2 linked regions of the Tribolium castaneum genome follow. The protein of the gene in region 1 interacts with the protein of each later gene in a biochemical or structural test. Links are inferred from orthologs where the notes say so. Each region holds a gene or a part of one and is shown on either strand. Other genes may lie near its edges.

Region 1 (4,340 bases):
TCTTTATATTTCATTTTTCAAATTTTTGTTTTTTCTGTTGAAATTACCATTTTTTCTCCTTTTTTCCACGAATATTTTTGTTTTAATTCCAATGAATTGTGCTTTTAGGATCAATTACATCCACTTGATGGCCCACTTCCGAATGCACGTGCAAATCAAGGACCAAACCAGCGCTTTCATTCGCGGCTTCCGCTCGATTATCAACCCCGACTGGTTGTCGCTCTTTTCAACACCTGAAGTGGGTTCAAACCGTTGAAAACGCTCTTTTAACAATAAATTTCCAGTTGCAACGCCTTATCTCGGGTGATAATGTCCCCTTAGACATGAAAGATTTGCGCAAACACACTCAGTATTACGGCGGTTTTCACGACTCGCACCGCGTGGTGGGTTGGCTGTGGGATATTTTAGAAAAGGATTTCACCGAGGAGGAGAAAGGAATGTTCCTAAAGGTGCCCCCCGTAATTTAAAGCCCAATTTTCCTAACTTAGGTAATTGCAGTTTGTGACAAGTTGTTCCAAACCGCCGCTTCTAGGCTTCGCTCATTTGGAGCCGCCCTTTTCGATTAGGTGTGTCGAAGTTGGCGATGATGAAGACACGGGAGACACGATCGGTATTTTTTTTGCAATTTGTTAGATTTTGGAAAAATCTGGAGGGGATTTCAGGAAGCGTCTTTCGGGGGTTTTTCACGATACGGAAAAAGGACCCACAGAATCGCTTACCGACGTCTTCCACTTGTTTCAATCTTTTGAAGCTGCCCAACTACCAAAAGAAAAGCACTTTGAGGGAGAAGCTGCGGTACGCTGTCACTTGCAACACTGGGTTTGAGTTGTCGTAATTGTTAGTGGAAATGGAATTTCGACATATGTGACACCCATATCAACCTTTTGTGTTTTAATATTACGATGATCCGTGTTTTTTTTCTCCAAGCCAAATATTTTATCAGATTAATTTATTTTAACCCAATTTGTTGACTATAATCACTTCCATGTTGTGATGTCTTTGTTGTATTTACTTATGTAATAAAATATATTTTAACGAGTTGTTTCACTCCCGGGGCTTCCCTCAATTTTTGGTGACTATGACATGTCACTATACGCACCAAGTTGGCGCCGCGTCAAGTCTTTTAAGCCAAACATTCGATCAGATTTACGTTATTTTAGCCAAATGTTGTGTTTAATTAACTAAATATTAGAAAAAAAGTTTTATTTATCAGTTATCACGTTTTTTGGTGATTGTGGCTTGCCACTGGTGCCGGTTGGCAGCCGTGCCAGTGGCCTTGTCAGTGTCACTTACGTCAATCTGGAATTTGTTTTGATAAAATGCACTTGGTTGTGTAAACTGGGCTAAAAACCGAAAAAATGGCATTTAACCCCTTGACCGAGGCCGAGTGCGGCCAGAAGAACCCCCTGGCCCGCCTGACGTCGCACCTGACCCACGATCATGCCTTCGCGGAGGCCCACGGGCATGCCTTCCCCAGCAGCTCGGACCAACTGGTCGAGCAGTTCCTGCAAGAGACGAAGTCGGTGCCCCAGAGCTTCCGGATGGACGGTAGGGCCCCCCCGTGCGTTAAAACCCCCGTAATTCACCTGTGACGCTTCCAGATTTGATGCGAGAAATGCACGAAATTGAGTCTCAAAGGTCGGCGCTGCCGCCAATTCCCGCCTCCACGATCAAGGACCAGATCCACGACGACGCCTGGGCGCAGCAGTACATCGACGACGGGAAAATCTTCAATGTAAATAGGCGCTGGTTGTGAGTTTTGCACTGTCATTTGTGTTCAAGGACAATGTGAACAGTGAGGCGATCTGGACGGAGATCCTCTCGCAGGAGCAGAACAATGCGGCTGTGGTGGACGACTGGGGCACTGATAATTTCCCAGAGATACTGCCAGGGCCCAGCAAGGTAAATGCCTCGCAGCAGAGCGCTCGGGAGTTTGTTGAGGCTGTTGATGACCCCAAATTTGTGTATTCGAAGGTCAGACGTTACGTCAGGGTTTGGGGACGGTAAATAATGAATAGGTTTCAGTTTATGAGATTCATGAAACAAGTCGGCGATGGTGATGTTAATTTGGAGGACGGGAGGCTGACGGAGGAAGAGGCGCAGTCCTGGAGCAAGGAGTTCCTCCAAAATAACAACGAAGCGGAGGCTGAAAAAGTCGCCAAAAAGTGGGAAAAGGATTACGGTAACCATCTTTTCCTTAAAAAGTTTTTATTTATTTTTTACAAAAATGTTAAAATCAGTAATAAACCAAAAGGCTTGAGCTAGGGTTTTGAGGTTTTGCAAATATTGGCGATTAAAAATTATCGATTATACAGAATAATATCATATATCTTAGGTAATGAAAAAAGACATCCAACTGAGTTAGAAATCGTTTTGATAAAAAATTGTTTAAGCCTTTTGTTACGAGATATAGCTGTTCAATTGTTAGATTTTTGAACTAAGTTTTTGAATGTAGTTAACATGATTACCTATCACTTTATACTTTCAGAACAAATTATCGATTTTTTTAATATATTATTACCAGAAAAAAAAATAGTACAAGGTAAGTAAAAACCAAAAAGCGAATTTTATTAAATTTCGAGATCATAAATTAAATAATTATCAAGGATTTAAATTAAACCAGTTTCTTTTTTTTTGTATTATTTTCTGTTTGTGTATTTGTTTTCCACATTTTATTCACATGAAATACAAAAAAGTTTAATTTCCTATGAAAATTTCATCTGGATTCAATTTTTATTTAATTGAAAAATACATTTTTTTAAATTAATTAATAGTTATTAATAGCGCTTTTATCTTTAAAATCTAGTTTTTATTTTAATTTTTATGTTCTTGACACTTGTTTACTTTCTTTTTGATAGTTTATTTATAAAAATAATAATAATAATAAATCAAAGCTTTTTATTAAATAAAATTGAACAATAATAAACAGATGAGAAGGCGCAGTCTAGCTTGAAGGTATTCAACTTACCTTCAAAGAAAAATTAACAGAAAATATAAAAAAATTAAATTAAAATAAAATAAACAATATAGAACTTGAATAAAAATAAAAATCGGAAATTACTTAAGAACTGAAAACTAAAAAGAAAAATCACTGCCAGTCTCTCAGGAACAAAGGCAAGAAGAAAGAATTCTTTAAGAAAATAAAAAAATACACAGGAAAAAATTCCTTTATGTTTATTATCAACATCACTTACCTAACTCAGTTGAGCAAAGTTAATTATTAAAAAGGAAATTTTTAATTTTACTCTCGAATGTAAGCATTGAATTTATTAAAACTTTCCGCTGTATTCGTTATTTGCTGTAATTACGTTGGAACCAAGCGTCATCCAAAAAAAAAAAAATCGCCGTACAAGTGTGCCATTAAAAAAATATTTTTTAATAACTCGAAACCTAAAAGAAATTTCAAAAAAAAATTCTTGAAAAATATCACATTTTAAAGTCCAAATAAATAAATACAGGCGAGTGATATAAAAAAGCTGTTTCTAAGATATGGATTTTTTGTTGTGATAACGCATTGTTAACAAACTTATCCGATTACACAACTGTGCAATTTTCGCTCAGTTTGTGAATAATGCTCTTATCCCACATGAATGTTAAATATTTAATATTAAGTTACAGAAGTCTTGATTTTTACGAGTGATATCAAGAAATTTTATTTGTTTTAATACAAAATGAATGATTAGGTCGAGAACTAGCCTTGAGCCCTAATTTCAGAAGACGATTTCAATTCCAAATACTGGAACAACCTCCAGGAAGAGCTCAAACAAACTCTAGAAGGCGCCGAATCTAGCGAAAACACTTGGGCGAGCGAATTCGACTCCTACTATACTGCCCCATACAACGACTATACCTTTACCGAAGAAAATCCCATGTTTGATATTCCTGACCCTTTACAAAGAGGCAAAAAACTGCTCGAAGACGGCGATCTGCCGTCGGCTGTTTTATGTTTCGAAGCGGCCGTAAAACAAGAGCCTGAAAACAGCGAAGCTTGGCTACTATTAGGCAAAACCCAAGCGGAAAACGAACAGGACTGTAATGCCATACCGGCATTGAAAAAGTGTATAGAACTGGAACCCAATAATTTAACGGCGCTCATGGCCTTGGCTGTCTGTTACACCAACGAGAGTTACTACAGTCAGGCTGCACAAATGTTGCTCAAATGGCTCACAAATAACCCGAAATATAGCGATCTGGTGCCACCCGATTTTCAACTAACTGGGCAAGTTACAAGCTTTTTACAGCCGTAAGTGAGGGGGCTGGCTTTGAGTGACTCTTTGTAAATATTAGTGCTAAGCTCAGCTTCTGTAATAACCTTTGTGCCTTCAAAGTTTCGGTCAAAG
Region 2 (3,230 bases), on another chromosome or scaffold:
ACCATGCAATAATGACCCACAAAACTAGAGTAAAAACAAGAAAACCAATCGCAATGCTTGAATACACAAAAATGTGATTATAACGCTCAAAATTAGACAGTTGACATTCTAAATCCCACTGTTTTCGTGTAATAACGATGGGTTTTAAAAGCGCAATAAACTCGTCAAAATCACAGTTGAAATCACACCCTTTTGGCGTAATTTTCTGCACTTGACTGGAATTTTTGTAAAAAACGTTGAGATAAAAACTTGAATTTCGCCTCAATTCGAACATTATGGTGCTAGCGTAGGGGGGACAATGGTACTCGAAGGCCCCCATTGTGTTAAGTACGTTCGCTATCGTGACATCATGCGCCGAAAAAACGAGAAATTTCCGGAAATTTTCAATTTTTTTGGTAGCGTTGCGAAAATGTTCAATAATTTCGTTAAAAAGGGGGCCCGTTTTAAGCCTCGCCAAGTCCCTGTTATAACACTGGGTGGCGAAGCTTAGGTGGGCCCACGGGGCCATTTTTTCGGGATAAACCCCCGAGGTCCACTGGGGCAAAACAAACTTATTTAAACTTTCGATGTACAAGGTGTTGTATAGATACTCGAGAGTCTCGAGGGACGTTATATTGGCCCCTGAATTTTTGCTCAAATACGCGTACAAGTCCCGATTTTGTCGACTAATGTTGGCGAAAAACTCGGTTTTGAAAAGTTGGGTTAGAAGCGAGTTGTATTTGGGGCAGTTTTTTTTCATTGAGAGGAGGTTGTCCTCCAGTTCGGGGGTCGTGTGAATTGGGATGGGCTGCCAGGGGAGGGCGGGGTCCCACACTTGGTCGGCTTTGGGGGGGTACAAGCCGGCCAAGTTGGCTTCGGCGGACATGAGCGTCCTATCGACGTCCGTTGAACGGATGGAGAAGTCTTTCTCGGAATAGTGCGGCGATAGGAAGCCCCCATAGCGCTGGCGCAGCCACTGACCCAAGCGGAAATGCTGCTGTTTGCCCAACTAATCAAACGAGTGACACTGCGCAAAAGGGGGCTACTCACGTTCGTCAGCTGACCGAAGCCCACTGGCCAGAACGACGCGTTGCGGTAGGGGTCCCTCGGGTAGGGCTGAATGGGGGTGCGGTCACCATGCCTGTAAATCTGCAAAGGGGTTAAAGACTCGGCAGCCCCCCAACTCACCACAACCACCGAAATCAAATCATCACAGAGCGAGACACTAATAAGTACACAAACTAACACTAGTCTAACCATTGTACTTTGTAATCACAGCATTTTGTTTATCAACATATGGTCAAAATTTTTGACAATTGACAATCAACAAGTGCTGCCATCACACGTTCAACGCACCCGTGATTTGTGCAATTTTACACTCCCGGCCCACCTAACACAAAAAAAAACACACAAACTGATTAAAACACAATTGTCGCGTTCATAACGAATAACCACGAATAAAAGCAACAATGTGAGCAGCCCCACAGAGACATAACCTGTCGCCAGGCCCGCCAACCGTAATTCAAAAAATGGCGGAAAACGCAGCCAATTTCACCCTCACTTCGCAAAACAAACCCTCGATTTTCGAAATAATCGCGTCAAAGTCACTCAACGACACCCTCCACCCGGCACTGCAGAAAATCGCGCTGGTAAGGCTACAATTTTCAGGCGTAAACTAACAATCCGTAGTTTTTGGCCACTAATTGCCCCCAGAAATTCAACTGGTTGGGCAAATACTACGACGAAGTTTTTCTTTTATTGAATTGTGGCCTCCAGTACGGCTACCTGCGCAATTACGGTGAGTAAACCCCCCAAAAACTGTAATAATTGTATATTTCAGACGCCACGTTTTCGGAGAATTTCTACGGCTTGAAGCGTGTCCTCGACTCTGGTAATCAATTGACGAGTCACCACCGTCGCATTTCCTTGTTATTTTGCGTGTTTTTGCCGTATTTCAAACGGAAATTGGACGAAAAGGTGGCTCTGTATCGCTTGGAAAACGCCGACGGTTGTTTGCGTAATGTATGCCAACGTAACTGACCCGACTACTAAAAATCCCTAGAATTTCGAGGGCCGGTTCAAAAAACTGTTAATTTTGTCCCACTCCACGTTTGAGATAACATGGGGGCTGCTCACAGTTTACAATTATATTAAATACATGTCGCAACAAACCGAAGCTCAATTGCCGATTCTTCAATTGATTGATGTCAAGTTGGCGTATTCGGAGCCACTTCCACCTGAGCCAAGTTTCTGGTCGCTTTTATTCAAAGGGCATTTGGCGGATTTGTGGCAATTGAATATTTTGAAAAACGCGGTTACAAGTACCTTCGAGTTTGGGGCGTTTTTCTTGCAGTTTTTGCAAGCCTGGAGCGCTCACCAGAATTATAGTGTGACGGCGCTGCCAACTGTTAAACCACCAATGGTGAGTCTAGTGATAGTGTTGGTAGTAGTGCTAATTTGATTGTTTAGCTCGATGGGAAAGCCCGAAATTATCACAATAAATGTCCGATTTGTTTACAATTTTGGAAAATACCGACTGTTCTTCCTGTTTCCGGATACGTGTTTTGCTTTCCTTGCATTTTGCGGTATTTGAGGGACAACCAGAAGTGTCCGGTTACGAATCTTCCCGCCAAACCGCTGGATATCGTTAGGATATATGATAATGAATAAAAGACGTTGTAGTTGAGAATTTTTTATTGAAATAAACATGCAATTGTGAAAACAACAAAAAGCCACACTTTTTGTCAAGCAAAATGATAAAAAAATATTAATAAAAAACGAAAAAGAAGTCTCAAATACCTGGGAACAAATCCACGAGGTCCTTCCGGTACACTCATCCTAATCCTAGTAATCCTATCCTAATCCTCAAACAGTTTTAAATCCACTTCATCGCCAAAATCCTAGGAAAAGTATTAAAATCCCCCGAAAATTACTACAATTTATTTAAAAAATCCTAATCCTAGGAGTTTGTCCTTTCCTTCCGGTGAAGTGGAGATCAAAATCCCGTGTTTGTGAGACCTATCGCATTGCAAAACATCTCGTTTAAACACTGTTTTTTCAATGAGAAACGTGTCAGTTAATTTTTTGAAATGATTGTGTTTCATTGTTAGAAAAATTGAATAACTTATTTACCGAGCCATTTAATTGTGTGGTGTCCTCTCAACACTCCGAAAAATGCAATGCTTAGTGTGTTAAAAGTTTAAATATCCTCCTCCACGATCTTTGAGACTCCCTCCTAACAACATTCATCC

What was found.
Region 2: the proteins of Pex5 (region 1) and Pex12 form a complex in vitro, tested with the Homo sapiens proteins (2 studies listed by BioGRID). The link is inferred for Tribolium castaneum from reciprocal best matches to the Homo sapiens genes PEX5 and PEX12.

Annotation. Positions count from the first base shown.
Region 1 is NC_087395.1:23,162,894-23,167,233, reverse strand, and holds the start of Pex5 (peroxisomal targeting signal 1 receptor), read left to right. Parts: upstream 1-1,256; 5' UTR 1,257-1,358; coding exon 1,359-1,548; intron 1,549-1,601; coding exon 1,602-1,735; intron 1,736-1,782; coding exon 1,783-1,974; intron 1,975-2,025; coding exon 2,026-2,182; intron 2,183-3,714; coding exon 3,715-4,243; intron 4,244-4,340. Other genes in the region: ubiquitin-protein ligase E3B, read left to right, coding at 109-238, 285-449, 499-610, 663-835.
Region 2 is NC_087401.1:8,582,690-8,585,919, forward strand, and holds Pex12 (peroxisome assembly protein 12), read left to right. Parts: upstream 1-1,493; 5' UTR 1,494-1,508; coding exon 1,509-1,628; intron 1,629-1,668; coding exon 1,669-1,777; intron 1,778-1,819; coding exon 1,820-2,001; intron 2,002-2,041; coding exon 2,042-2,401; intron 2,402-2,448; coding exon 2,449-2,649; 3' UTR 2,650-2,710; downstream 2,711-3,230. Other genes in the region: prostatic acid phosphatase, read right to left, coding at 1-988, 1,030-1,128, 1,168-1,239. UniProt on the Homo sapiens protein: Component of a retrotranslocation channel required for peroxisome organization by mediating export of the PEX5 receptor from peroxisomes to the cytosol, thereby promoting PEX5 recycling.